Mus musculus: one gene and its partners. The protein of the gene in region 1 interacts with the protein of each later gene in a pairwise test. Links are inferred from orthologs where the notes say so. Each region holds a gene or a part of one and is shown in the gene's direction. Other genes may lie near its edges.

What was found.
Region 2: the proteins of Ccndbp1 (region 1) and Psmb10 interact in binary tests that used the Homo sapiens proteins (3 or more experiments, as listed by UniProt). The two-hybrid records come from large-scale screens. The link is inferred for Mus musculus from reciprocal best matches to the Homo sapiens genes CCNDBP1 and PSMB10.
Region 3: the proteins of Ccndbp1 (region 1) and Rplp0 interact in binary tests that used the Homo sapiens proteins (3 or more experiments, as listed by UniProt). The link is inferred for Mus musculus from reciprocal best matches to the Homo sapiens genes CCNDBP1 and RPLP0.
Region 4: the proteins of Ccndbp1 (region 1) and Pimreg interact in binary tests that used the Homo sapiens proteins (3 or more experiments, as listed by UniProt). The two-hybrid records come from large-scale screens. The link is inferred for Mus musculus from reciprocal best matches to the Homo sapiens genes CCNDBP1 and PIMREG.
Region 5: the proteins of Ccndbp1 (region 1) and 2310039H08Rik interact in binary tests that used the Homo sapiens proteins (3 or more experiments, as listed by UniProt). The two-hybrid records come from large-scale screens. The link is inferred for Mus musculus from reciprocal best matches to the Homo sapiens genes CCNDBP1 and PEX39.
Region 6: the proteins of Ccndbp1 (region 1) and 1700088E04Rik interact in binary tests that used the Homo sapiens proteins (3 or more experiments, as listed by UniProt). The two-hybrid records come from large-scale screens. The link is inferred for Mus musculus from reciprocal best matches to the Homo sapiens genes CCNDBP1 and C22orf23.
Region 7: the proteins of Ccndbp1 (region 1) and Ilf2 interact in a two-hybrid assay, tested with the Homo sapiens proteins (2 studies listed by BioGRID and IntAct). The two-hybrid records come from large-scale screens. The link is inferred for Mus musculus from reciprocal best matches to the Homo sapiens genes CCNDBP1 and ILF2.

The regions. Positions count from the first base shown.
Region 1 is NC_000068.7:121,011,408-121,014,409, forward strand, and holds part of Ccndbp1 (cyclin-D1-binding protein 1), read left to right. Parts: intron 1-26; coding exon 27-123; exon of another isoform or gene 124-151; intron 152-275; coding exon 276-349; intron 350-945; coding exon 946-1,022; intron 1,023-1,291; coding exon 1,292-1,569; intron 1,570-2,550; coding exon 2,551-2,611; intron 2,612-3,002. UniProt on the Homo sapiens protein: May negatively regulate cell cycle progression. May act at least in part via inhibition of the cyclin-D1/CDK4 complex, thereby preventing phosphorylation of RB1 and blocking E2F-dependent transcription.
Region 2 is NC_000074.6:105,935,593-105,939,699, reverse strand, and holds Psmb10 (proteasome subunit beta type-10), read left to right. Parts: upstream 1-1,307; 5' UTR 1,308-1,689; coding exon 1,690-1,745; intron 1,746-1,933; coding exon 1,934-2,021; intron 2,022-2,108; coding exon 2,109-2,206; intron 2,207-2,318; coding exon 2,319-2,459; intron 2,460-2,718; coding exon 2,719-2,834; intron 2,835-2,945; coding exon 2,946-3,004; intron 3,005-3,552; coding exon 3,553-3,704; intron 3,705-3,794; coding exon 3,795-3,906; 3' UTR 3,907-3,972; downstream 3,973-4,107. Other genes in the region: Lcat (phosphatidylcholine-sterol acyltransferase precursor), read left to right, coding at 1-128. UniProt on the Homo sapiens protein: The proteasome is a multicatalytic proteinase complex which is characterized by its ability to cleave peptides with Arg, Phe, Tyr, Leu, and Glu adjacent to the leaving group at neutral or slightly basic pH.
Region 3 is NC_000071.6:115,558,188-115,562,266, forward strand, and holds the start of Rplp0 (60S acidic ribosomal protein P0), read left to right. Parts: upstream 1-1,279; 5' UTR 1,280-1,352; intron 1,353-1,599; 5' UTR 1,600-1,647; coding exon 1,648-1,701; intron 1,702-2,553; coding exon 2,554-2,817; intron 2,818-2,911; coding exon 2,912-3,058; intron 3,059-3,145; coding exon 3,146-3,331; intron 3,332-4,079.
Region 4 is NC_000077.6:72,041,032-72,045,301, forward strand, and holds the start of Pimreg (protein PIMREG), read left to right. Parts: upstream 1-1,470; 5' UTR 1,471-1,503; intron 1,504-1,985; 5' UTR 1,986-2,018; coding exon 2,019-2,306; intron 2,307-3,949; coding exon 3,950-4,227; intron 4,228-4,270. UniProt on the Homo sapiens protein: During mitosis, may play a role in the control of metaphase-to-anaphase transition.
Region 5 is NC_000083.6:46,771,190-46,773,907, forward strand, and holds 2310039H08Rik (uncharacterized protein C6orf226 homolog), read left to right. Parts: upstream 1-1,445; 5' UTR 1,446-1,623; coding exon 1,624-1,968; 3' UTR 1,969-2,218; downstream 2,219-2,718. UniProt on the Homo sapiens protein: May be a peroxin involved in the PTS2-mediated protein import pathway.
Region 6 is NC_000081.6:79,138,452-79,142,507, reverse strand, and holds the start of 1700088E04Rik (UPF0193 protein EVG1 homolog), read left to right. Parts: upstream 1-1,256; 5' UTR 1,257-1,353; intron 1,354-1,515; 5' UTR 1,516-1,524; coding exon 1,525-1,627; exon of another isoform or gene 1,628-1,739; intron 1,740-3,207; coding exon 3,208-3,270; intron 3,271-4,056. Other genes in the region: Polr2f (DNA-directed RNA polymerases I, II, and III subunit RPABC2), read right to left, coding at 1,074-1,093.
Region 7 is NC_000069.6:90,482,701-90,486,200, forward strand, and holds part of Ilf2 (interleukin enhancer-binding factor 2), read left to right. Parts: intron 1-76; coding exon 77-142; intron 143-1,753; coding exon 1,754-1,870; intron 1,871-2,989; coding exon 2,990-3,068; intron 3,069-3,484; coding exon 3,485-3,500. UniProt on the Homo sapiens protein: Chromatin-interacting protein that forms a stable heterodimer with interleukin enhancer-binding factor 3/ILF3 and plays a role in several biological processes including transcription, innate immunity or cell growth.

The DNA.
Region 1 (3,002 bases):
AACTTCGAGTTTGGGTTTGGCCATAGGAATCACCCTGAGAAAGCTGGTACGGAATGCTGCCCTGGACATCGTGGACGGCATGGCTCAGCTCCTGGAAGTGCTTCTTACTGCTCCATCTCAGAGGTAGTGGGTGCTGCAGTGTGGGCTAACGGTTAGTGGGGTTCCTTCACTCAGGGAGGGAAAATTGGCCCTCACAGCAAAGTCACTCATCTTGGACCTTATTGGGAGACAGAAACCTAGGTTATTGATATGTCCTTGTTAATTCCTTTCTCCAGCACTGAGAATGGTGACCTGATTTCCTGCAATAGTGTCTCAGTCGCATGTCAACAGGTGCCTGAGATCCCAAAAGGTGGGTAGGAGTAAACTATTACCTGCTGGCCAGAGCAGAGAGGCCTCTCGGGTCTAGCTTCCAGCTGTGCCTTATAGATATATTTTAATTTCTGTGAAGACTTTAGTGAAATAACATATAGTTTATTTTCATTGATATTAGTTGATTGATTTAATACTTTTTGCCATTCCTTATGCTCATGTTTGGTTTGGTTTTGGCAGTGCTGGGGATTGAGCCCAGGGTGTGCCAGTCAAGCGCTGTGCCACTGAGCACAACTGTTCAATTCAGACGACTCCTCTTACTGTGGCTCTCTCTCTCTAGTTGAACAGATAGTTGCTCTCTCTAGTTGCTCTCCTATTACTGTGCCAGGAACAGCATGGGTGAGCTCGCTGAAAGAGCTATAAAACAGAGCCAGGCAGACTGAGAGTGGCTATCAAGAGGATGTGGTAATAAACACTATGAGACAGTTTTAGGTGAAATTAAAAAGCCTGTTTAACCCACTTTCTAGGCAGAGGGTGTAATAAGAGAATTAAAGCAGTGCTGGTTGCCCTTTGTGGTCTTAAGGAAACGGTCAGGTTTCTCCTCTAATTCTAGTGCTTCTGATTCTTCACTCATAGATAACAAAGCCGCAGCCCTTTTGATGCTGACCAAGAGTGTGGATTTTGTGAAAGATGCACATGAAGAAATGGAGCAGGTGAGGGCACTTACCCATCTTTCTTGAGAACTGATCATAAAGGCAGGGGTTGCCCGCAGCTTGACTGAATAGTCCCACGCTCACTCCTGTCCTGCCCTCTGTCTCCCACTGTGTTTGGCTTGTTTCTCATTGCCTCCTCTGTTCATTGCTGGACAAGCAGAATGAGAATGTTGGTTTCTAAATCGATTCAGTTTTGTAGCCGATATAGCAAAGCAGGTGGCTGATGGTGGTGGTGTGTTTGTATTCGCAAATATGATGGTATGTCTTAGGCTGTAGAAGAATGTGACCCGTACAGCGGCCTCTTGAATGATTCTGAAGACAACTCCGACAGCCACAGTGATGAGGATGGTGTGTTAGGGCTTCCCAGCAATCGGGACTCATACTGGTCAGAGGAAGATCAAGAACTCATAATCCCGTGCCTGGCGCTGGTGAGAGCATCCCGAGCTTCACTCAAGAAAATCCGGATCTTGGTGGCTGAGAATGGAAAGAAGGATGAGGTGGCCCAGCTGGATGACATTGTGGACATTTCTGATGAGATCAGCCCCAGGTAAGCGTGGGTTGCTCCTGGGAAAACAGGAGCATTGGGATCTGAGCTGATGCCCTTGCTCCAGGGCTGCTTCCAGCTTTTTGTGTTTTAAAATTTTTCAAGCCTAAAGGAAAATTGAAAAAATACTTGAGTCAGTAGCCGTACATCCTTTATTTGGCTTCTGTTCACCTTTCCCCCGTGTATTTATTTACTTCTTGATAAGTAGGGATGATATGCTTTTCCTAAATCATAAAGGCATAAGTGACTTTTCACCCGTGAATATTTTATCAGCCACCTCCTAAGAACAGACATGGAGTCACATTCAAGAAATTTGACATTCGATGTAATAATAAAACTAATGCTTAGATTTCTCTATTTGTCTCAAAATGTCTTAACTACATTCTGAGTTTCATTAAGATCTCTTTCTACATTTTCTTGGCATTTGTTTAATTTCTTACAATCTTAGTCTCTGTCCCTTGTGGTCTGACTTGACATTGGCATTTCAGAATTACATATGGTAGCTACACAACAATTTGGATTTATAAGAATATTTTCTCATAGTAGTAACAAAGTTAAACATTTTGGGTCAAAAGTTAGCGTGTTTTGTACTTTCCTTTATATCCTGCTGGGGAGGCACCTGATGTTAATTTTCCTGCTTAGTAGTAATAAATGTAGTTACATGGTTAAAAGTAGTGGCCTCTTCTGAAGAGGTCCTTTTGCCTCACATGTTTAGTTTCCATTGATGAACTCTGTCAGTATCACTGAACTGATGGTTTTGAATCCTCATGTCTTTGACAGAACTAATTCCCCATCCTGTGAACCACTCACGTTTCCCCCCAGCTTCCTAAATAGTACATGTTTATCCCAGTAAACATTGGTTGAGTTTCTTCTGCATTGCATGCCTGCTTAAATTAAGGAACTGAGTTGGTTGTGTGCTGGGAACAGCCACGCTGAGCTCTGCCCCCTTTTTGTGGTTAATGGTTCCGTCTGTCTGCTTCTTAGTGTGGATGACTTGGTTCTGAGCATATACCCACCTGTGTGCCACCTCACTGTGCGGATCAGTGTAAGTACCAGCTTTCATTAGTATTTATAGAGCATTTATATCATCACCAAACTTGTGTGCAGATAAAATATCTTCATAGTTCTTGTTTGTATTTGGCTTGATAAATACTAGCTGGACTCTTGTTATAATAGCCATGTGCTTTGATACTTTAATTCTTTTTATTTTTAAAGATTTATTTATTTATTTTATGTATATGAGTACACCATTACTGTCTTCAGACACACCAGAAGAGGGTTACAGATCCCATTACAGATGGTTGTGAGCCACCATGTGGTTGCTGGGAATTGAACTCAGGACCTCTGGAAGAGCAATTAGTGCTCTTAATCACTGAACCATCTCTCTAGCCTCTGATATTTTAATTCTTTTAGAACCACTTGAATAATTGTTTGAA
Region 2 (4,107 bases), on another chromosome or scaffold:
ACGAGACAGATCACCTCAACATGGTCTTCAGCAATAAGACACTGGAGCATATCAATGCCATCCTACTGGGTGCCTACCGCACTCCTAAGTCGCCAGCTGCCAGCCCAAGTCCCCCACCCCCTGAATAAAGACCTAGCTGTTATAAATAAGTGCAGGGTGTTTGTTATGGGTTAAGGGGAAGGCACTACTAGGTTCCTTAGATAACCTGCATCACCTGGCTGATGCATGCTTGATCTGGGCTTAGGGGAACACGGGGTTCAGTGGGCTTTGCTAAGGCCCCAGACTGGACTGACTTTGAGATATGTAAATAGATTTTCATTGTCCTAGTTGAGCTGCTCAGGAAGCTTGCTCTGTGGCTTCCTTCTTAGGGGCCCAGGACAATATTCAGATCTGGGTATATGGCTGTTAGAATGGGGACACAGAGAAATAGGATTTGAAGTCGACTTTTGAGTTCTGGTTGGATACAGAAATTTATAATAAAGCATGGTGGTGCACGCCTTCAACTCAACACTTGGGAGGCAGAGGCAGGCAGATCTCTGTAGGCCACTCTGATACACACAGTTCCAGGACAGCCAAGACCACAGAGATTCTGTCCCCAAAACACAAACAAATAAATAGAATTTAAGATATTGGGGCTGGGGATTGTTAATGTAAGAACTTGGATTCCATGACAGCCGGAGCTATACAGAGAAAACCTGTCTCGAAAAAACAAACAAATAAATGGGGCTAGAGAGATGGCTCAGCGTCTGTTGAAAGAAGCTGTTTTTCCAGAGGACCCTGGTTCAATACCCAGCACCCACATGGCTGCTCACAAGTGTCTGTAACTCCAGTTTTAGGGGAGCTGACACCTCACACAGACATGCAGGCAAAACACCAACGCACATAAAATAAGCCATAAAAAAATTAAAAAATTAGGGCCACGTGGTGGTACACATGCCTTTAATCTTCTCATCCAGGCCAACCTTGTCTACAGAGCTTATTCCAGGGCAGACAGGGCTACACTCAACTACACTGAAAAACAGTTTTTCAAGCGCCCCCCCCCCCCAAAAAAAAAGTTTAGGATCTGAAGAAAAGACAGTTCATCTAAAGAAGATTTAATGTGAGACATTAGAGAGAGAGAGAGAGCAAGCACTCAGAAGTTAAGAGCATTTTTTTGCACTTGGAGAGGACCTGAGTTTGGTTCCCAACGCCCACGTGGTGGCACGCCCACATGGTGGCTCATGATCATCTGTAACTTCAGTTCCAGGGAATCTGATGCCCTCTTCTGACCTTGGTGGGCATGTGGCATGCACATACCACATTCACTCACACACATAACTAAGCCTGCAAGGGCTTCATTTCTACTTACTTTTAAGGGGTTATGTGTGTGAGTGTTTTACCTGAATACATGTATGTGCCTGCAGTGCTCAGGGGGTGTCAGCAGAGATGGGAATGGAGGATCTAAGGCGCACCATAGGTCTGGCAAGGAGTGTAATAGCCCCTTCCTCAAGTTATCTGGGACTAGCAGCAAAGACGAAAGTGAAAGAGAAGATGCACACAGCAGCCAACAGCCTCTGAACTAGGGTGGGGGTGAAAGCGAAAGTAGGAAGCGTCCGGAAAAACCCCACAGAAGCCAGGACAGACGCCTCTGCTCCCCCTGGCTGATCCACTCATCGAGACCCCCGCATTCTCACTTGGCCTTCCTGCGAGATGCTGAAGCAGGCAGTGGAACCCACAGGAGGCTTCTCTTTCGAGAACTGCCAGAGGTGAAAGGGGAGTGGAGTTCTAGTCACGAACTGCTGGTGCCTTGTTTTATTGGTGGAGTGGGGGAACCCTATGTTGGGTGACCAAGTAGGGGCTTAAGCCAGGAGATGAGTAGAAATGGGTTTGGGGACCGGTTCAGGGACCCTCCCTTGATGCAGAACTGAAACGCGAGTCACCCCAATGTTTCCAGGAATGCGTCCTTGGAACACGTCCTTCCGGGACTTCGGGTTCCTCATGCACGCAAGACCGGGACTACCATCGCGGGGCTTGTGTTCCGAGTAAGCGGGGTGATAAGGGCTGGAGGGCTAGAAGGGCAGCCACTGCGGAGATCAGGTGGGCATTAAGGCTGGGCTCTGCCTCTGCAGGATGGAGTCATCCTGGGAGCGGACACGCGGGCCACTAACGATTCGGTTGTGGCGGACAAAAGCTGCGAGAAGATCCACTTCATCGCCCCTAAAATCTAGTCAGTATGCCCCGGACCAGTCCCCATATTCAAACATAAGCTGCACTGTCGCTCACTCCCTACTTTGTCCCTGCACGTCCCTGTCCACATCCACCATCCCTTTGTCCCTTAGCTGCTGTGGGGCTGGAGTAGCTGCGGACACTGAGATGACTACGCGGATGGCAGCTTCCAAGATGGAACTACATGCGCTGTCCACCGGCCGTGAGCCTCGGGTGGCCACGGTCACCCGTATCCTGCGCCAGACGCTTTTCCGGTGAGCAAGTGGGGCTAAGATGACCCCTAAACGGGGTATCTGCAGGTGGGTGGAGTTGACAGGAGGCGGGACGTGGAGTGGGGGGGAGCGGGGCTGCGACCTGCAGGGAGACCGGAAGAAGACAGACCAAGCTGAGTTCCGGAAGAGGCAGCGTCAATTGCAGGACGCCAGGCCAAAGGAAGGGGTGGGACTCAGACCAAAAGGCAGTGTAATGGGCGGGGCCTGTCTGCTAACATTAACCCTGCCTGCTCCTCCACAGGTACCAAGGCCACGTGGGGGCATCACTGGTCGTGGGCGGGGTTGATTTGAACGGACCTCAGCTCTACGAGGTGCACCCACATGGTTCCTACAGCCGTCTGCCCTTTACTGCCCTTGGTGAGCTCTTCCACCCTTTAAATCACACGAATCCTGCTCCTGCAACCCCACCTTCAAGGTTTGTACCTCCGCAGCTAACAACTGACTTCGGATGCCCCTTCCCACCTGCAGGCTCTGGTCAGGGTGCAGCCGTGGCACTGTTGGAAGACCGGTTCCAGCCAAACATGACGGTGAGCGACTTCTTCATGCTCACTGGCGGGGAGTGCTGAAAAACCCTAGCCAAGTATAGAAATAAGAAAGGCTTGTAGGTGTGAAGGGGACAACTGAGTAGGGACTGAGTAAAGTTGAAGATGGGAGGGCCAGTCAGGAACCAAGCTTAGACCACAGAGAGAAGCAGAAGCTCACAACGGATCATTACTGAAGGAAGAGGTAAATGATGTTTGAGATTGGACTTGGGAGTGGGATAGAAGTAAGTGACTATGTGCTTCAGAGATAACTAAGGCCCAGAGAGAAACACGTGACAGACTGGGTGGGAAGACAACTTGGGGGGGGGTACATGTAAGCAACACTGAGAAGTTTGTACAGAGGACAGTGAGTGGAGGGCACACAGTTTTGGAGGAGAGGGGGTCAGAAGCCAAGGGACTGGAATTTTCAATGGATGGAGAGAAAGGAGGTTGAGCTTACATAAAGAGCAAATTGTCTAGACTTCAAGATTAACAAGTCCCCTGGTTAGAGTGTGGTAACACTAGGTCCATTTAACCTCATTTCCACTACCCAGCTGGAGGCTGCGCAAGAGCTGTTGGTGGAAGCCATCACAGCAGGGATCCTGAGTGACCTGGGCTCTGGGGGCAATGTGGATGCCTGTGTGATCACTGCAGGGGGTGCCAAGCTGCAGAGAGCATTGAGCACCCCCACCGAGCCTGTGCAGAGGTAAGAGCACAGGAAGGGAGGGCTCTGTGTGTGTTCACACGTGTGCATGGACAGGCTGCATTCTAAAAGGCTGGCCCTCCTCCCTTCTAGAGCTGGCCGTTACCGATTTGCTCCTGGAACCACACCTGTCCTGACCCGGGAAGTGAGACCCCTGACCCTGGAACTTCTTGAGGAAACTGTGCAGGCCATGGAGGTGGAATGAAGTGGCCTGAGATGTAGAGTTTGGAATGAGGGTGAATAAATCCGGGAAACACAAACACTTAAACAGAAGGCTGTGTCTTTCTTGAGAGGAGTGAGCCAAGCATCTGTAGGAGTTTTGTGGCTGAGGTATTCACCTAAGGACGACAGACCCAGTTCTTGGCCTGAGGTCCTCCTCCTCCTCACCTCAGGGATCTATCCGTGC
Region 3 (4,079 bases), on another chromosome or scaffold:
AAGAAGCTAGTTTTATGTATCGATTTTCTCCCGTATCCCTGGAAGGGAAAGCAAACGGTCAATAAAGTGGAAGTGCTTTTTAAGACAACACAGCAAGCGGCAGAACAAAGTTATGGATCCGGGTCTCATCTGGCCGCATGCCCTGCGTTTTGCCTGCTCAACAAATACTTATCTGCCCACTGTCTGGCAGGCACAGAATAAAATCTCTGCCCTGTGGAGCTTACCTTCCTGCAGGGAGAGGCTGACAAGCAGAATGTGGTGAATTATACAGCGAGTTAGATGGTGTAAGTGCTGCAGGAGAAGGTGGGAGAGTAAGGGAGAGTAGGTTTGGTTTTGCCCCCGCCCTTAAAATTTGAAATCAAGAATCAGGGCAGGTCTCCTTGAGTAGATAGCATTTGCAGCAAGATGTGGGGGAGGTGAGTTTCTCTGACCGAAGCTGGCCAGCACCATTCAAAAAGCTGTGAAGCCGGTGGTGGTGGCGCACACCTTTAATCCCAGCACTTGGGAGGCAGAGGCAGGCGGATTTCTGAGTTCAAGGCCAGCCTGGTCTACAAAGTGAGTTCCAGGACATCCAGGGCTATACAGAGAAACCCTGTCTCGAAAAACCAAAACCAAAACCAAAAAAAAAAAAAGGCATACTCTTGAAGGGGATAAAAGGGCAAAGGGATCAGGCGAGAGGCAAACACATCAGTAGGAAAGCAAGAAAACAGATTGCGACAGTGGAAACAGTCGTGTGGGACCTTGAGAATAGTCTACGTTTTAGGCGTTTACTCAGAGAAAACGGCAATCTTTGATTAACTTTGTGCGGGTGAAGATGTAGGTTTTGAAAGGAAGAACAAAACGGGCAGTGGTGGCGCACGCCTTTAATCCCAGCACTTGGGAGGCAGAGGCAGGCAGATTTCTGAGTTTGAGGCCAGCCTGGTCTACAAAGTGAGTTCCAGGACAGCCAGGATATACAGAAAAACCTAAAAAAATAAAAAATAAATAAATTAAAAGAAAGAAAAAAGAATGGAAGAACAAGAGGAGACTAGAGCATCAGCTAGGGTTTCGCAGAAAGTTGTTTTGCTGTACTGACTCGGTGACGCTGCAGGGCGGCTCCGACCCAGCAGAGGGCAGCAGGTCTGAAAGCGCGCCTCCTGCGGCCGGGTGCTGTCTTTACTTTCCCGACTTGCTGGAGTGGCAGCGGTCTCAGCCAATAGACGCGCATGTTTATTGAGTGAGGCAGGACAGTCGATGGAACCAGCCAATAGGCATGGACGACGTCGTCTTCGGGTTTCGAGGACCGCCTGGTTCTCCTATAAAAGGCACACGCGGGCATGCGGCCCGTCTCTCGCCAGGCGTCCTCGTTGGAGGTTGGGGGGTTGTTTTGTTGTGGGAGGGCGGCAAGAGCGCGGGGACGTTGCGGGTGGGAGCGATGGGCTCGGGAAGGATCGCGGCCGGGCTCTGCCCGTCCGGTCTACCGCCTGGCTTGTCGGATCGCCCGCGCTGCTGGCGGCCGCAGCCCGGGGCCCAGCTCTGGCGTGGCCGGCTTGGCCTAGGCCTGGGATCGGGGCCGGTGTTGGGGTTACCGGGCTCAAGCTGCCCCCTCTCTCTCCCCAGTGACATCGTCTTTAAACCCCGCGTGGCAATCCCTGACGCACCGCCGTGATGCCCAGGGAAGACAGGGCGACCTGGAAGTCCAACTACTTCCTCAAGATCATCGTAAGTGTGGAGCGGGCCGGGGACGCGCGGCTTCCGCCTCCGGGTCTTCCCGGGGCGGTCGTTGGCCACGCGCTTTAACAGAGTTTGGGCATCCTGGGGAAGTTCTGTAGTCTTGGGATCTCCCCCCCCCCCCCCCGCGTTCCAGAACTAGCTCGCTCACCCAGTTTTTCATCTCGTCGAGCCCTTCGCGTTTGTGCAAAGGGCTGAGACTGGAGTGATTCATCTTGTTGCCCATCTGAGACCTGCCAGTCAGGCTGCTGTTGAGTGACTTAATTACAAAAGGCCTTTGAGGTGGCTTTGAACCAGAGCTACCAGACTTTGTAGGTACCAGTCTGTTTTAGTTAACTTTTCTTTTTTTTTTCCGAGACAGAGACAAAGATTTTTGGGTCTGGTAGTACCTTTTATATTTCACAACCTAAGATCCCCCGACCTCTCTATAATTTGTTTTCTGTGCTTTTTAAGTCTGTCTCTTCCCTGATCAGAGTCACTTTGGTCACCCAGGCACGCCTTATTTAAAAAGTAAAGCTTAAGATTTACTTGAGGCAAGTCTTCCCCCTATAGCTCTGGCTGGCCTCGGATTAGCAATTAAGCCTTACCTGTCTTTACAGGTGTGGCACCACACCCAGCTAAAAGTTAATTTTTGGCTGTGACAGTAATTTTGTGATACTCGTAACCAGCAAGGAAGCTGGATCAGATAAAGACAGACGTTGGGCTCGGGTGGCTGGCTCCTAGCGAGAAGTGTCACACCTAGGGTGAAGCAATGGGGAGGTAGAGGTAGCAGGGTTTCGGGTTTTGCTGGGTATTTTTTGTTTGTTTTCCTCTCAATGTAGTTTTTCCTGGCTTCCTTCATAGCAACTTTTGGATGATTATCCAAAATGCTTCATTGTGGGAGCAGACAACGTGGGCTCCAAGCAGATGCAGCAGATCCGCATGTCGCTCCGAGGGAAGGCCGTGGTGCTGATGGGCAAGAACACCATGATGCGCAAGGCTATCAGGGGCCACCTGGAGAACAACCCAGCTCTGGAGAAACTGCTGCCTCACATCCGGGGGAACGTGGGCTTCGTGTTCACCAAGGAGGACCTCACTGAGATTCGGGATATGCTGTTGGCCAATAAGGTAAGGGGCTGGGACGATGAATGAGGATTTGGCCATTTCGGGGCTTTCACCGATGGAGAGGCATTTCACCGTCGACTACCTCTGTTCTGTTTAGGTGCCAGCTGCTGCTCGGGCTGGTGCCATCGCCCCGTGTGAGGTCACTGTGCCAGCTCAGAACACTGGTCTAGGACCCGAGAAGACCTCCTTCTTCCAGGCTTTGGGCATCACCACGAAAATCTCCAGAGGCACCATTGAAATTCTGGTGAGTAGATGGCCTGCAGTGGTCGGTCCTTTGGGCTGGGCCTCCTGTGTGTCCAGATGATAACTGTCCTGCTGTTCTCTTCCTCAGAGTGATGTGCAGCTGATAAAGACTGGAGACAAGGTGGGAGCCAGCGAGGCCACACTGCTGAACATGCTGAACATCTCCCCCTTCTCCTTCGGGCTGATCATCCAGCAGGTGTTTGACAACGGCAGCATTTATAACCCTGAAGTGCTCGACATCACAGAGCAGGCCCTGCACTCTCGCTTTCTGGAGGTATGTCTGCCCAGCTCCTTCCTCCCATGCTGAGTGTGACAACAGATTCGTGCTGGCATCTTCAGTTGTTCCATCTTCTCATCTGCAGAAAATAGAGTTGGGCAGGAGGTCATGTGCTGGGACTCTAAAGGTTGTTAGCCTGTGATAGCAAAACACTGCCTGTGGGGGCTGTGTCTAATCCCAGCGGAGGCAGGCACCCTCTTGTGAGTTTGAGGACAGCTAGGTCTCAAACAAAATAGAACATTGCTGGTCGGTGAGATTTTGAGTATTGAGTCAAGGAGAGATGAATACAATTTAATGCTAACAATTTAAATTGTTATTACTCTATCTTTTTAAAGACTGTCCCACACCAGGCTTTTGCCATTAAATTGACCTTTTTTGTTTTTTGATTTGTTTTGTTTTGTTTTGAGGCAGGGTTTCTTTGTATAGCCCTGGCTGTCCTGGGCTTTGTAGACTAGGCTGGCCTTGAACTCAGAAATCCTGCTTTTGCCTCCCAAGTGCTGGGTTTAAAGGTGTGCACCACCACTGCCCAGCTTAAGGAAAATTGTTTCCTTGAGTGAATAACTTACTGAAATTAGACATGCATCTATAGATTTAGCATTTTAATCTTAACATTTTTTTGAGTTATTTATATAGTTTATATTTCTAACTCCAACCATGCCCACCCCCACTCATAATTCAAGATTGGGAAAAGGTTTCATTACTGGTAAATCACATCTGGAAATGGATTAATATTCTAATAGTGCTC
Region 4 (4,270 bases), on another chromosome or scaffold:
CTGTTGGCTTTATGCAGCCAGCAGGAGGTGACAGGACCCAGAAGAGTGCTGGCTTCAGGAGTCAAGGGAGAGACCCCAGCTGGAAAAGGGTGGGGTCTGAGGAGCAACAGTGAGGGGGTCAACCCTGGTCACACAGACAACGTCCCTGCATGCATGGCCTTTGGGTCCTTCACCCTGCTACAGTTAGTGAGTGAAGTGTACGGCCAGTCTCTCCACACCCCAGCTACCTCACAGAGCTGCAGAGCACTGGGGATAAACTGGGCTTGCTGATAGAAAGGGAGTGTTTGCAAGTGCTACACACAAATCAACCATTATTATTATAGGGGGTTGGGAGGTAAACACTGAGGTCAGGAGAGGGTCAGACAATCCTGACACCAGGAAGAGGCCTGAAGAGTCTCTAGGAGTCTCACTCCAGGCTGAGGAAAGGAGAGAGGAGGGAGAAGAGAAATTCTTTTTTGAGGACCGATAAGAAGGCCCCATTGTGGTGGCACGCCAGGCCCCTTGATTTCAATCTTGGGGAGGCTGAGTGTGGCCAGTTAGAACCAACCACCTCTAACTCCAGCTCCAGAGGGTCTGACTTCCTCTTCTGTGTCGCCACCACGCCACCCCACAGGCATTTACATGCACAGAGACATATAATTAAAAATAAAAATATTTTTTTTAAAAAAAGTCAAAACCATAAAAATGAAAGCATGGGAGAAAGTGACCCAGCCTGGGTTGCTGTTGTTTGTCGTCGTCGTCTTTGTTTCTTGTTTTGTTTTTTTAGCTTGCTGGCAGACTACAGGAAAGAAAGATTGAAAGATGCGTAGAGCAAGACCCGGCAGAGGAACTGACCTAACTGTGGAGAGGGTGATCTACAGTCTGTCCCCTCCTCTGAGATGTGCTTTCTTGGGCGCCGCCAGCAGGGTGTTTGTTTGAGGAACAGACAGGGGCAGGGCCATCTCGCAGGAAGGAAGAGAATTACGCGGGGAATTTGAAACAAAACTTCCCAGGGATCGCAAAGCTCGGCAGTCCCAGCCTATCGCTTTGACAAAACTACTTATCGTGGGAGAGAAGTTAGGCGGGGTGAAGGACTGAAAGGGGCGCGTGCCCTGGGTGGCGGTGACCTGAACCCCCGCAGCATCCTGCACCCTGACCTGCATGCTTGAAGAAGAGAGCTTGGGAGAACGATGGACTAGGCGCGGTCGCCTGGGACCAAGCAGCCGGGATGTAGGGAGGCGGGCTGGTCGGTAACAGTGATCCGGTGGCGACCTGGACCCCTCTGCGGCGAGCCAGGTGGGGGGTCTACGAACGATGTATGGGCGTGGCCAGGCCAATCCCAAAGCAGGATTTACAGTCACGAGAGAAAAAGACCAATCGAAATCCGGGGCGGCGGTGGTGGATGGCTGATAGGGCCAATGGGCTGCAAGCGCCGGGGCGGGGCGGGGCCGCGCGGAGTTTCAAATCGGCTGCGGTGGGCTAGGAGAGGGTGTTGATCTTCGGGTCCGGGTATCGAGCAGGGAGGTGAGCATGCGGGGTTACCGAGGGGCTTAAGGAGGGGGGTGGGGGACGGTCTCACGGGGAGCTCTGAATGGGGAACGGGTCAGGAGCTCTGGATAGGACCCACAAGACAAAGGGAATGTCTAGGAGTTGCAAACGCCCCATCGGATCCGAGGCCTTGGCTGGATTGCTAAATCTGCTCCGGAGAGGAAAATTTGTGAAAACAGCATACTGCTGGTGCCCTGCGTAAGCGCCGAGGCTCCGTGACCTGTGTGCCACTCCACTTAGCCTATGGGGAATAGGCTAGGATGGAAAGACGGACAAATTGCCGCCTTGCAACGGAGGCAGCTGCTGACCATGATGCCATTGGTCATCTTTCTGGCATCCACAATTGCCCAACAGGCCTACCCCGCGAGGTTCCACTTCATCTCTTTCCCAGTTCCCAAGGTCCCTGGAGCCTTGGAATGGGGTCAGGGAGTACTTTGATGACCTTTTGACCTCCCCAGGATCTAGCGGGCAGCGGAAACTGGACCAAGCACATGGCGTCTCAGTGGCAGGGCATGAGGACCTCTGTGCGCAGACGATCACTCCTAAAGGAGGAACAGCTAGAGAAGAAGGAGGTGACCCGGTCTGCTGGGGGTCATCCGGAGACCGGTCCCTTGGGCTCCCTGTGCAGACAATTCCAAAGGAGGCTGCCTCTGAGAGCGGTCAGCCTGAACCTCGGTAACGGCCCCTCCTGGAAACGCCTGGAAAGTCCAGAGCCAGAGCAGCAAGGTCTTCAGGCTGCAGCTCGCTCAGCCAAAAGCGCCTTGGGTGCCATGTCCCAGGTAACAATGACACCACCAGCCGTCTGTTTACAGAAGCGTCCTTGGTGTTGACTGTCCCTATCCTCAGGGAGACCCCAGGAATATAGACTCCATGGGGTCTTGGGGTTTGATTAGGTTCTTGCCATTTTCCCAGAACCCCGGTCATTCTGGCACATAATAGTTTCCCAACAAATCAGTAGGTGAATAAAGTCATGGAAGAAATTGGTGTTCCCCATGCAAGGTGACCTGCCATGTCCTGTGATAGAAAATTGCAGGAAATGGCTATCTATAAAGAGATACCAGTCTCAAGCTTAGTGGATAAAGACTTCCTAGAATAGGTGACTCTTCCAAGATCACTCAGGAAAGGGGAGGTGTATGTAGGCACAGGGCCAGTGGGATGCTGTGAGTGAGTCCAGCGTGGATGCTGAAGAGAAGAGTCCCCAGTGTGAAGCTAAGCAGTCAGTATAGTGAGAGAGGTGATCCTGTGTGCTGACCCCCATTTAAAGTCTCCCAGTCACACTCTTACACCTTAGCTGTCAACTATTTGGTAGAAAAAGGCAGAGGAGCGGGGCTTGCAGAAAGGGTGCAACTTCCTGAGCGGTTCAGAAGGCAGATTTGAGGGGTGGTGTTTGTGTGTGGTGTGTCCAAGAGCCTTCGAGCAGATATCTTCTTTTAATGTTTTAATATTTATCTATGGGAGGAGCGCTTATGCAGTGGTACTTGTCTGGAGGTCAGAGAAGGAATAAGGTCTCCCTCCACCGTGTGGGTTCTGGAGATCACACGAGTTGCCTGGTTTGGTGGCAAGAAGATGTACCTGTTACGATATCATGTTGACCCCACCTAGGTCTTTAAACCTGGAGCTGGAGATGTGGGCAGGTGTCCCCTGGACAGGACAGAAGCTATGAGAATGAGCAGACCTCTAAGAAGAGAAGGGGGAATGGCCCCTGGCATCTTGCTGGCATTCTGATGGTGTAGGGAGAGAGCAGAGGCCTCTGACGACTCCACAGAGAGGTCTCCTTGCCAAAGTCTAGCTCTGACTTGGAAGAGCCCTAAGATTGCTTTCAACATCGCTATAGCTCAGAACAATGAAATGTGACAGTTTGTCTAAGGTCACCCAACTCATGAAAACTTATCTCGGGCCTTGCTCCAACTTCTGGGTTCTGGTTTGCCAAGGCAAAGACAATCTAGCAAGGCTGTTTGACCCAGCCACATGTTGAAGATCCAAGGGTTGGGACTCAGCCCTGTAGATTATTGGGAGCCATGGAAGGGCTCAGAGCAATTAAGTGTTATGAGCAGACCTGTCATTGAAGTATGTTAGACTGAGATGGAGGAGGGAAGAGAAAGAATAGGACTAAGGTAGGATCCAGAGCTGGCATCCAGAAAACTGAGCCTCCCTCACTCTCTGAGTTAGTCTCTGCCTGGGGGCTCAGATGTAGAGTGGTCTTGCTGCTACCTGCTGAGTTACCACACTGGATCTCAGGAAGGTCTTGGAGGAGAGTACCATCTCATGGGGAGTCATGCTGTTGCTCTTGGCTTACTGTTGCTGCTGCTTAGTAACAGCAGACTGTGTTTGTGGGGCCAGCCCTGGGCTGGAAGAATGGCTAGAGCCTGGTAGCCCACCTTGGTCCTATCTGTGCCAACCTTCTCACATGAACCCATCACAGAGGATCCAGGAGTCCTGTCAGAGTGGCACCAAGTGGCTGATGGAGACACAGGTGAAAGTGAGAAGGAAGCGAGGAGCCCAGAAAGACAGAGGGTCACCACCACCCAGTCTGAGCCAGAAGAACACTCGGCTATGCAGGGCCAACCGGGATGCTAGAGTCGGGGGACATCTTCGCCTCTCTGGCCAGATGGGTCCGCATGCCCATCGCCGTCAGCGGCTAAGGAGGGAGTCTGCCCTCCGGAGCCCCTGTTCCTCCACAGAACCTCTCTGCTCTCCCAGGCAAGTAGTCGTCTGAGCCCAGGAGGACCTCCCCTTCTGTCCC
Region 5 (2,718 bases), on another chromosome or scaffold:
AACACCGACATGATAGCAGAACTAAGGGTTCAGTTGCTCTCTTCTGGCCTTTAGCAGTACTGCATGCATGTAGTACACAGACATAGATGCACATAATAAAATTAAAGGGGGGCCCGGGCAGTAGTGGCACCCGCCTTTAATTCCAGCACTTGGGAGGCAGAGGCAGGTGGATTTCTGAGTTCGAGGCCAGCCTGGTCTACAGAGTGAGTTCCAGGACAGCCAGGGCTACACAGAGAAACCCTGTCTTGAAAAACAAAACAGAAAAGGAAAGGAAAGGAAAGGAAAGGAAAGGAAAGGAAAGGAAAGGAAAGGAAAGGAAAGGAAGCCCTAAGAGGTTCAGCATTACATGAGGAAAAGTGTGCCAGAGGGGCTGCAGACAGAGCTCTCAGTTAGTAGAGTGCTTGGCTAATACATATAAACTCCTGTGCTCCATTCCCGGCACCATACAATACAATTCAATTCCCAGCACATACTGGACATGGACCCCTGTAATCCCAGCACTGCGGAGGTGGAGGGCCAGGAGTTCAAAGCCGCGGTTGGGAATGGTCAGCAGTTAGTGCCTGCCGTGCAGGTGTGAGGGTCAGAATTTGAATGCCCACAAACCCAGATAAATGCCAGCTGGATGCGGCGGTCTGCCTACTTCTGCCCTTCGAAGGCAAGGATCCGAAGTCAGACGCGTGCATACGCGCGCGCACGCACACACACACAGACTATATTGTGAGTTCAAGTTCAAGGTCAGCTTTGGCTACAGGAGACCTTGAAAACATGAGAACGGGGATAAAAATTCAATAGCCCTACCTGCTGAGCCATCTTACCCACTTTTTGGGTTTCATGGGGTTGTTTCCGGTGAAGGGTAAACATGCTGTGTGCTTTTAACATTATGCAAAGTATGCTTTACTTACTGATTTCTTGATCTGTGCCAGATCAAGCTGTTTATTATATACTTACATGTTTCAGTGTGTAACTCGGCTGGCTCTATGGCCCGAGCATATGGTGTTACAAGCATGAGCCACTGCATCCTGTCAGGATAGCTTTGATACAGAAATCTGAACAGCATTGGGAGGTGTAGCGCAGCAGACATTGGGAGATGACGAATCCTTGGCTCAAACCAAAATTGACTACAAATCCCAAACAACACATAACCCAAACCCAAACAACAACAACAAAAACCAGGGATTTGATCCTTAGTACCACAATTAACAAATGTGACGAGCGCTTGCTTGCTTGCTTGGAAAAGCATACAGAATCACGCTCTGGACTGTAGCGCGAGACTCAAACTACCAAGACGACCCTCCCGGCCCTGAGCGCGCAGCCTGCGTCCGCATCTACACGTGCCAAAGGGAAGTGCTTTTGTACAGCCACGCCTCCTCACACTTGTCTCACTGGGTGCAAAAACTTCACTTTTTGGCTCGTTCCCCCACCCCACCCCGCCCGCTCCTCACCCACCGCAGCACATCTCATGTTGTGGAATGAGAGCTGGAGGTTAACCCAGGCTGCAGCTTCTGCACAAATAGCCCGGGTCTTGGAAGGTCTACCCTGGGCTAAGTTACTAAGCTCCCCTCTACTTTTCACGAAGTGGTTGCTCCCACTCCACCCGGAAGTGCTTACAGCCGGATCCGGGGGATGAGCTGGTGGCAGGACATGGACCAGCGTGGCGGTGTCTCCAGTCCGAGCGGTGCACTGGCGTCTGCCGAGCCAGCTCCTGCCTCGGTGACCCTGGCGGAGCTCCTGCACCTGGTACAGAAGGGCCAGGAGGTCCCGGGCCTGGAGAAACGCCACATCACTGCGACCCACGGTGAACCCACCGCGTCTCTGCTCCCTCGGAGGCCCAAGCCCTGGGAAGATGCGGGCTCGGCCGCCTCACCCTGCACCATCGCCCTAGACACGAGGACGCAGCCTCCGACCATCGAGGAGCGATCCCGGGGCAGTCCAGCCGCCCAACTCGACGGAGGCCCAAGGGTTTCCTGATGCTCGAGGTGTTTCCCGAGGGCATGACTGGGTCCTACACAAACTTGAGTCTGGACACTTGCCACCTGTGGGACTCAATGTTGCCTAGTAATTTTGTTTTTGGATGCCAAATTTCAACTTCATACTGTGTCCTAGTCCATTTGTGTAACGGAAATAAGTTTCCCTTGTCACTGTAGGACAGCACAACCTCCTGGACCCGCTTGTTCTGATGATACCGATAAACCGATATCCAAAAGGCATTTCTAACTTGGCAGTCGTTTGGGTTTGATGAAAAGGTTCCTTCCCAGAGTGATACATAGAAACCCTGGTTCTTGGAGTTGGGGGACTGGAGAGAGGGCTCGGTGCTCTTCCAGAGGATCAAGGTTCAATTTCCAGCAAACATGGTGACTCACATTTTAATGGGATCTGACGCCCTCTTCTGTTGTCAGTGTGCTTGGCCACATAACTAAATCTTAAAAAACCCTGACTCTTGGGAGCAACTAAGGTAGTGCGAGCAGAGGCAGTTTGGTAGTTGGTACCCCCATAGGAGTTGGCTTTCTCCTCCCACCATGCACCAGACCCCCCCCCCCCCCCCCCCCCCCCCGGTTAAGCTCTGGCTTGGCAGCAGGTGCCTTACCCAGATTCATCTCCAAGGCTGAAACTAGTAGTTGGGAATTAAGCCCTGGGTTTCTGAGGGAGCATTCTTTCCTCCCCGCAGGACTTGTGAAACGGTGCCAGATGCCCAGGGGACTGGGCGAACGGCTCTTTTTA
Region 6 (4,056 bases), on another chromosome or scaffold:
TAGCCTCCCAAGTGCTAGGATTACAGGTGTGAACCACCACGCCCAGACTCTGAATTCTGACTGATCTATCAGGACTACCATAGTTCATCTTCTCTCTTGATTAACATATACAGCGTATCAAGAAATCCTTTAGGTTCTATCTTTAAAATATATCAGGATCCAGGCATGGTGGCGCACGCCTGTAATCCAGTGCTCAGGAGGTGAAAGCAGGCAGATCTCTGTAAGTTTGAGGACAGCCAAATCTACACAGTGACTTCCAGACACAGCTAGGACTATGTTGAAAGACTCTGTCTCAGGAAAAAAAAAAAAAAAAAAGAACAAAAATCACCTGGAAAGCAGAGGTAGATGAATCTCTATGTTCGAACCACCTGATATAAGGTTATATTTGGTCTCCAAATAAATAAAATAAAAATATGTCCAGCCGGGTGGTGGTGGCGCACGCCTTTAATCCCAGCACTTGGGGAGGCAGAGGTGGGTGAATTCCTGAGTTCAGCCTGATCTACAAAAGTGAGTTCCAGGACAGCCTGGGCTATACAGAGAAACCCTGTCTCGGAAAAAAAAAAAAAAAATGTCCATAATCCAGCTGGGTCTGGTGGTTCATGCCAGATATATCAACACTTGGGAAGCTGAAGCAGAGGACTGTGTCGAATTCAAAGCCAGCCTTAGCTATATAGTGAATTCCCGGGCAGCCTGGGTTTCAGAGTGAGGCCTTGCCTCAAACAACACTAAACTTCATGCTCTCTAGAGTCTATCCCCACTTCTGCCACCTCTGCTACTATCACACCTAGCCCAAGCCCGCGTCTGCTCCCAGCCTTCCAGGCCATTCTCTGGGTTGCTTTTTCCTTCCTACTTCCACGACTACACAAGCTACACACCTCTGGCATTCCCTTCCAGAAAGAGAGCGCTCAGAGGACAGGGGCCACACGGACTGAACTCTCTGACCACTGTCCCCATTGCTCCGCGAGGTAGGAAGTTCTGAAGACTTCGCCCCACCAACCCAGCAGCTGGGCTAGCCTGTGCTCCAAGAGCCCTGCTCGCACCACGACCTCCCTCCTTCCGTGGCCCGTGCTCACTTGTCCTCGTTGTCTGACATGATGCCTTCTCCGCCCGGGGCGCAGAGCAGAGAACGCGCGCCTTTGCCCCTCGCCGCACCACGCGTAGTTTGCGCTTGCGCCGTGACCCAGGCGCAGTTACTTCCGGGAAGCAGCGGCCGACCAGACGCTAATGCGCGTGCGTGGAGGCGTGTCGCTAGTTACCATGGTAACAAGGAGCGATTAGTGAGGACGCTGACACTCTAGCTCCTTGGAGTTTCTCCGTGCGGAGGGCTCTGTCACGCCCAGGTCATCGCCTAAGGTGAGCGCTCCTCCCCGGACCGTCACGATAGGGACTGTGGTCACTGCGCTGTCCGGAGCCGAGGGGTCGGGCACCAGCTTCTCAGACTCCCAGGTTGCTCGTGATGAGAGGTCCGGATTGCGAAGCGTAACTAGGGCGAGTCATTGCTTCTCTCCCTCCTAGGGCCCTCCCATGGCTTCCCAGGAAAGGGTGGACTCGGTGACCAAAGGAACCGGGTTCCGCCGCTGCCGTAAGCAAGCAGGTTACACGCCGGGGACTTGTGAGCTGCTCAGAGGTCAGTGCATTAGGGGATCAACGACCCGAGCGGTGCGGTTTTTCCTTAAGAGCTTGGGATTCTGAAAGGTTCGGGGAAGAATCAAAGACCAGAGATGGAGAATTTTGGAATGGTTAGTTCATCTTTTACATGCACTTTCAATGAAGCCTATCTCCTCACTGCAGTGGGACCTTCACAGTACCAAATTCAATTCCCTTCACCAGGCTTAGACATTATACAGTCTTAGAGGTGTTTAGTGTCACCTTCTAAATGGTGAACACCACCAGGCAAAGAAACGTGCCTGTTTCTGCTCACAACTGTAGCTCCAGCCTCTGCTACATGAATGAGCATGTATGCACTTAATTATTCAACGACAAAAACCTAATGTGTGATTTGGATATTGTCCTAGGTACTAGGAATAGAGTGTTGAGAGGATTGCAAAGGACAACTCTTGCTCTCAGAAAACTGATAACACAGGAGGGTAACAAGAAAAATGAACAGGAGAAAATTATAGAGCTGAAGGTGTTGCTCAGTGACAGAGTATATTCTAGGCAGATGTGGAGTCTGGGTTTCAGCCCCAGCACACCATACACAAAAAAGTCTGTGTGTGTTACAGTTGGAGAGCTGGCTCAGTGGTTAGGAACATGTACTGCCCTTTGAAAGCTCATTCCCCAGCACCCATGTTAGCCAGTCACCAAAAAAGTGTGTGTGTCTTAGGCATATGTAATGGGAGGATTGCCTGAGCCCAAGAAAAGCTAGCCTAGATAATATAGTAAGAACCTATCCTTGAAATAAAATAAGGACTGGAAAGATGGCTCAGAGATTAAGAGCACTGGCTATTCTCAAGGACCCAAGTTCAATCCCCCACAACCATATCAGGTGGGTCAAAGCAATGTGTAACTCTAGCTTCCTATGAGTCAGTGCCTTTCCCTGCCCTCCACAGGCAGCCATACACGCATAGCTACACACTCACGCACGCGCGCGCGCACACACACACACACACACACACACACACACGACCTTTTATTTTTTAAGATTTGTTTGTTTATTTATTATGGATAGTGTTCGGCCTGCATGTATGCCTGCAGGCCAGAAGAGGGCACCAGATCCCATTACAGATGGTTGTGAGCTTCCACGTGGTTGTTGGGAATTGAACTCAGGACCTCTGGAAGAGCATCATATATGCTCTTGATATGTGAGTCATCTCTCCAGCCCACATACAATCTTAAAGGGAGAAAAGCTGCATATAGTGGCTCATGTCTTTGATTCTAGCACTCTGAAGAAAGAGGTGGGTGAGTCTTTGTGAGTTAGAGGCTTGCCCAATGTACATACCAAATTTCAGGACAGCCAGGCTACAAAGTGAGACCGTTTCTATAAATAAACAAATAAATAAAAAGAGAAATAAAAAAAGATAAATTAATGAATAAATACAAGAAAAGGAAAAGAACCTTAAGTGACAGGCACTCTAAAGAAGATGGAGTAGGCAGAGGAGTGGAGGAGCTCAGTGCAGAATGGAGGGGGGGGGCGGGCAAGGGCGGGACCTGGTGGGATGAGGTGTGTCTGCTGAAGCTCCAGACGTCAGCCCCGGCTTTATTTTGCAGTTATGATGAAGGAGTCTAAACTGACAAACTTCCAGCAACGCCACATCATGGACACCATGAAAAGTAAGGGCAGTCACTCTGACGCTAGAGACTTTCTGGGCGAAGGAACCAGGGATACTTTTTTTTTTTTTTTTTTTTTTTTCTTGAGACAGGGTTTCTCTGTGTAGCCCTGGCTGACCTGGAACTTTGTAAACCAGGCTGGCCTCGAACAGATCTATTAGAAGTCTGCCTGCCTCTGCCTTCCAAGTGTTAGTTTTGACAATGAGTGCCACCATGCCTGGCTCAGAAATACATTTTCAATGTCGCTCTATATGAAAGGGATGGGGAGTTCATACCGCAAGTTCTTGACAGCCATGGCTACACAGTGAGATCTCGTCTCATTAAAAAGGGTTCAGTAAGCCGGGCAGTGGTGGTGCACGCCTTTAATCCCAGCACTTGGGAGGCAGAGGCAGGCAGATTTCTGAGTTTGAGGCCAGCCTGGTCTATAGAGTAAGTTCCAGGACAGCCAGGGCTACAAAGAGAAACCCTGTCTCAAAAAAACCAATACAAAACAAAACACAAGGCTGGAGAGATGGCTCAGTGGGTAAGAGCACTGACTGCTCTTCCAGAGGTCCTGAGTTCAATTCGCAGCAACTACATGGTGGCTCCCAACCATCTGTAATGGCATCTGATGCTCTATAATGGAATCTGATGCCCTCTTCTGGTGTGTCTTAGGACAACTACAGTGTACTCATATACATTAAAAAAAAAAAAAAATTCCTGGGGTGGTGTGGAACACAGGTTTAAATCCAGCATTTGGGAGGCAGAGGCAGGAGGATTTCTGAGTTCCAGGACAGCCTGATCTACAAA
Region 7 (3,500 bases), on another chromosome or scaffold:
TACATCTTAAAAAAAATAGAGGAAATCTACATGAAATACATTACTGTAACGTTTATGTCCTTTTTCTCCAATCTAGTGGAAGCTGTTGCTGCCCTGGGGAACAAAGTCGTGGAAAGCCTAAGGGCACAGGATCCCTCAGAAGGTTTGAATTTGAGTTTGTTGCTAAATATGCATGTAGTGGTGGCCACAGCAGCTGGTCTTACAAATAGTAGGCAGTGTGGGTTAGGGGTTAGCAGGAGTCTCTCCGGTATTCAGTTTTTATTTTATTATGAAAGGTGGGTTATGAGATAAACTTACACTATTGTTCCGGCTGGCCTCAAATTACATTCTTCCTGTCTTGGCCTCCCAAGTGCTAGGATCATAGATAGGGATGCACCACTGAACTCTTTTTTTTTTTTTTTTAATTTATTATTATACGTAAGTACACTGTAACTGTCTTCGGACATGCCAGAAGAAGGCGTCACATCTTGTTACGGATGGTTGTGAGCCACCATGTGGTTGCTGGGATTTGAACTCAGGACCTTTGGAAGAGCAGTCAGTGCTCTTACCCGCTGAGCCATCTCACCAGCCCCACCACTGAACTCTTGAATGCTGTTTTTAATTCAGAAATAACCCTCAGCTTAGAGGTGTATTGCTTGTGTGTGTGTGTGTGTGTGTGTGTGTGTGGTGCTGAGGTTGAACACCACACCTCTTATATGCTGGGCAGTCAGTTTGCCACTGAGCTTCATATTCAGGCCCTTTGTTGCTTGAGGTCTCATGTCCTGTCCTGTCCCGCTCTCTCCCCTACTTTTTTATGTGGGTAGGTTGGTCTAGTGCTAGAGATCGTCTCCTTGCTGCCTCCTTCTACTTAGTGGTATCCAAGCTCTTACTGATGTTTTGTGGTACATGCTTATTAACCCCAGTACTTGGAAGCATAGGCAGGAAGATCTGAAGTCTGAGGCCAGCCTTCAGTACATATACACATGCACATACATTCTTGTCTCAAAACCTAAATAACCCACTGCCAGAAAACTGACCTGTTTAATCAGATGTGGCACACCTATAACCCCAGCATTGGAAAACTTGGGCAGGGGATTGGTAATTTAAGGCCAGCCTGAACTGTATACATAGAAAGACCTTATGTCTCAAAACAAAATGAAGGCAGGGTTGATACAGCTTAGTTGGTAGAGTGTGAGTCTAGTGTGTGTAGAGTTGGGATCAGTAGTCAGCATTACATACCCCAGCTTTGCTGGCACATGCTTCTTTCTACTCAAGATGGGTGAGGTCGAGGGAGGAGGAATTCAAAGTCATCCTTGGCTTCATAATGTGTTGGGAGGCAGCCTGAGCGACTTGAGATCTTGTCTCAAAAGCTTGATGGCTCAGTGGGTTAGAAGTGCTTGCCAGCTAGGCGGTGGTGGCGCACGCCTTTAATCCCAGCACTTGGGAGGCAGAGGCAGGCGGATTTCTGAGTTCGAGGCCAGCCTGGTCTACAGAGTGAGTTCCAGGACAGCCAGGGCTACACAGAGAAACCCTGTCTCGAAAAACCAAAAAAAAAAAAAAAAAAAAAAAAGTGCTTGCCACCAAGCTTGATGACTTGAATTCATTCCATCAGACCTGCATGGTAGAAGGAGAGAACTGATTCCTAAAGGCTGTCCATTGCTCTCTATAGGAGTGTGAGTGTTCCCAGTCTCATATGCTCTAAATAAAACATAATTTTTAAAAAATTCAAAACAGAACAATTATGTTTTACATCTTGATTATTTTGTTCTTTTAGTTTTGACCATGCTGACTAATGAAACTGGCTTTGAAATTAGCTCTTCTGATGCTACGGTGAAAATTCTCATTACAACAGTGCCCCCCAATCTCCGAAAACTGGATCCAGAACTCCATTGTAAGTCTCCCCCCTCCCCATTGCTGAGAAATATGGGGGTGGGGGCTAGGAGGTACAGACAGCCAAAGCGTTGGCACTTTCTGGAAATGTTAGTATCTTGTCAACTGTAAAGGAGTTTTACCTTCCCTGTCATTTCTAGTTAGTTTTACCAGCTTCCTAGTGACTTGGCTGTTGTGGGAGTTTTTGCTATACCACTTTGGCTCCTGGCAGATGGAGCTATCTTTTGGATCTGAAAATGAAAGATACATTAGCTTATTTTTAAATGCCTTGGCTGCCTCAAAGGCTGGGTACTCCTAAACCTCCCCCTGCTACCTTATGCCCAGTCAGGAAAGTGGCCAGTGGCCACTCACCCGAAATCTCACAATGCTGGTTGGTATTCTCTTCCATTCCTCTCTGCATCCTACTGGAGCAACTCTAATTGACCTTCAGCATCTGGACATGCAGATTCCTGATTGAATCAAAGCATAGATAGAGCCCATCTCCAACATTTTCAAAGTCTTAAAAAGGATTACAGAAGAAAAAAAAATTGAAGAAAAAGATAAAAAGTAAAAGCTTGCCGGACAGTGGTGGCACACGCCTTTAATCCCAGCACTCGGGAGACAGAGGCAGGTGGATTTCTGAGTTTGAGGCCAGCCTGGTCTACAGAGTGAGTTCCAGGACAGCCAGGGCTACACAGAGAAACCCTGTCTGGAAAACCCCCAAAACAACAACAACAAAAAAAGTTAAGAGCACTGACTGCTCTTCCAGAGGTCAAGTTCAAATCCCAGCAACCACATGATGGCTCACAACCATCCATAATGAGATCTGATGCCCTCTTCTGGGGTATCTGAAGACAGCTACAGTGTACTCACATGTAATAAACCTTTGGGCCAGAGTGAGTGGGGCCAGAGTGAGAAAGAAAAAAAGTAAAAGCTTGTATAAATACTTGTGAAGGGAAATAGATTACTGGAAAAGATAAGTGTGTTGCATGTTTTCAGATTTGGCTGGGAGGAACAACAGTGTTTGGACAAATGGCTTGCTACCTTAGCCTTGCCACAGTTCTGGATGGGTATTGATTGGGATTGAATATACTGCACACATAATAGGAAAGTTTTTTTAGCCTGTTGTACTTGTCTTCAGTGGACATCAAGGTGTTGCAGAGCGCCTTAGCAGCCATCCGGCATGCCCGCTGGTTTGAAGAGAACGCTTCTCAGTCCACGTGAGTCTCATTGGTCGTTTGTATAAAATAATCTTTTCTGAGGAGTGTAGTGGCTTTGACCTGTAATCCAACAACTGTGAATAACAAACAGTACAGGCCCCCTACTCTCTCTGATAGAACTGCTTCAGATGTGATGTTTTTATCTAAAAAAAAAAAATATATATATATATATATATACACGTGCATATAGAATTTTGTTGTGTGTGGGTGCAGTGTAGTCTGAGTTCTCTTGTGTGAGTCTTAGGGATTGAACTCAGGTTTGTCAGACTTAGGGTACAAATGCCTTTCTTTGCTGGGCCAGCTGCTAGGCACTGTATATATAATTCTCTAAATAGTACAGTCAGTTTTGACTCCTAACTTGTGCAGAAATGTCAATATGATTTTATTATCTCTTAATTCCTGGGTCTCTTATTCAGAGTTAAAGTTCTCATA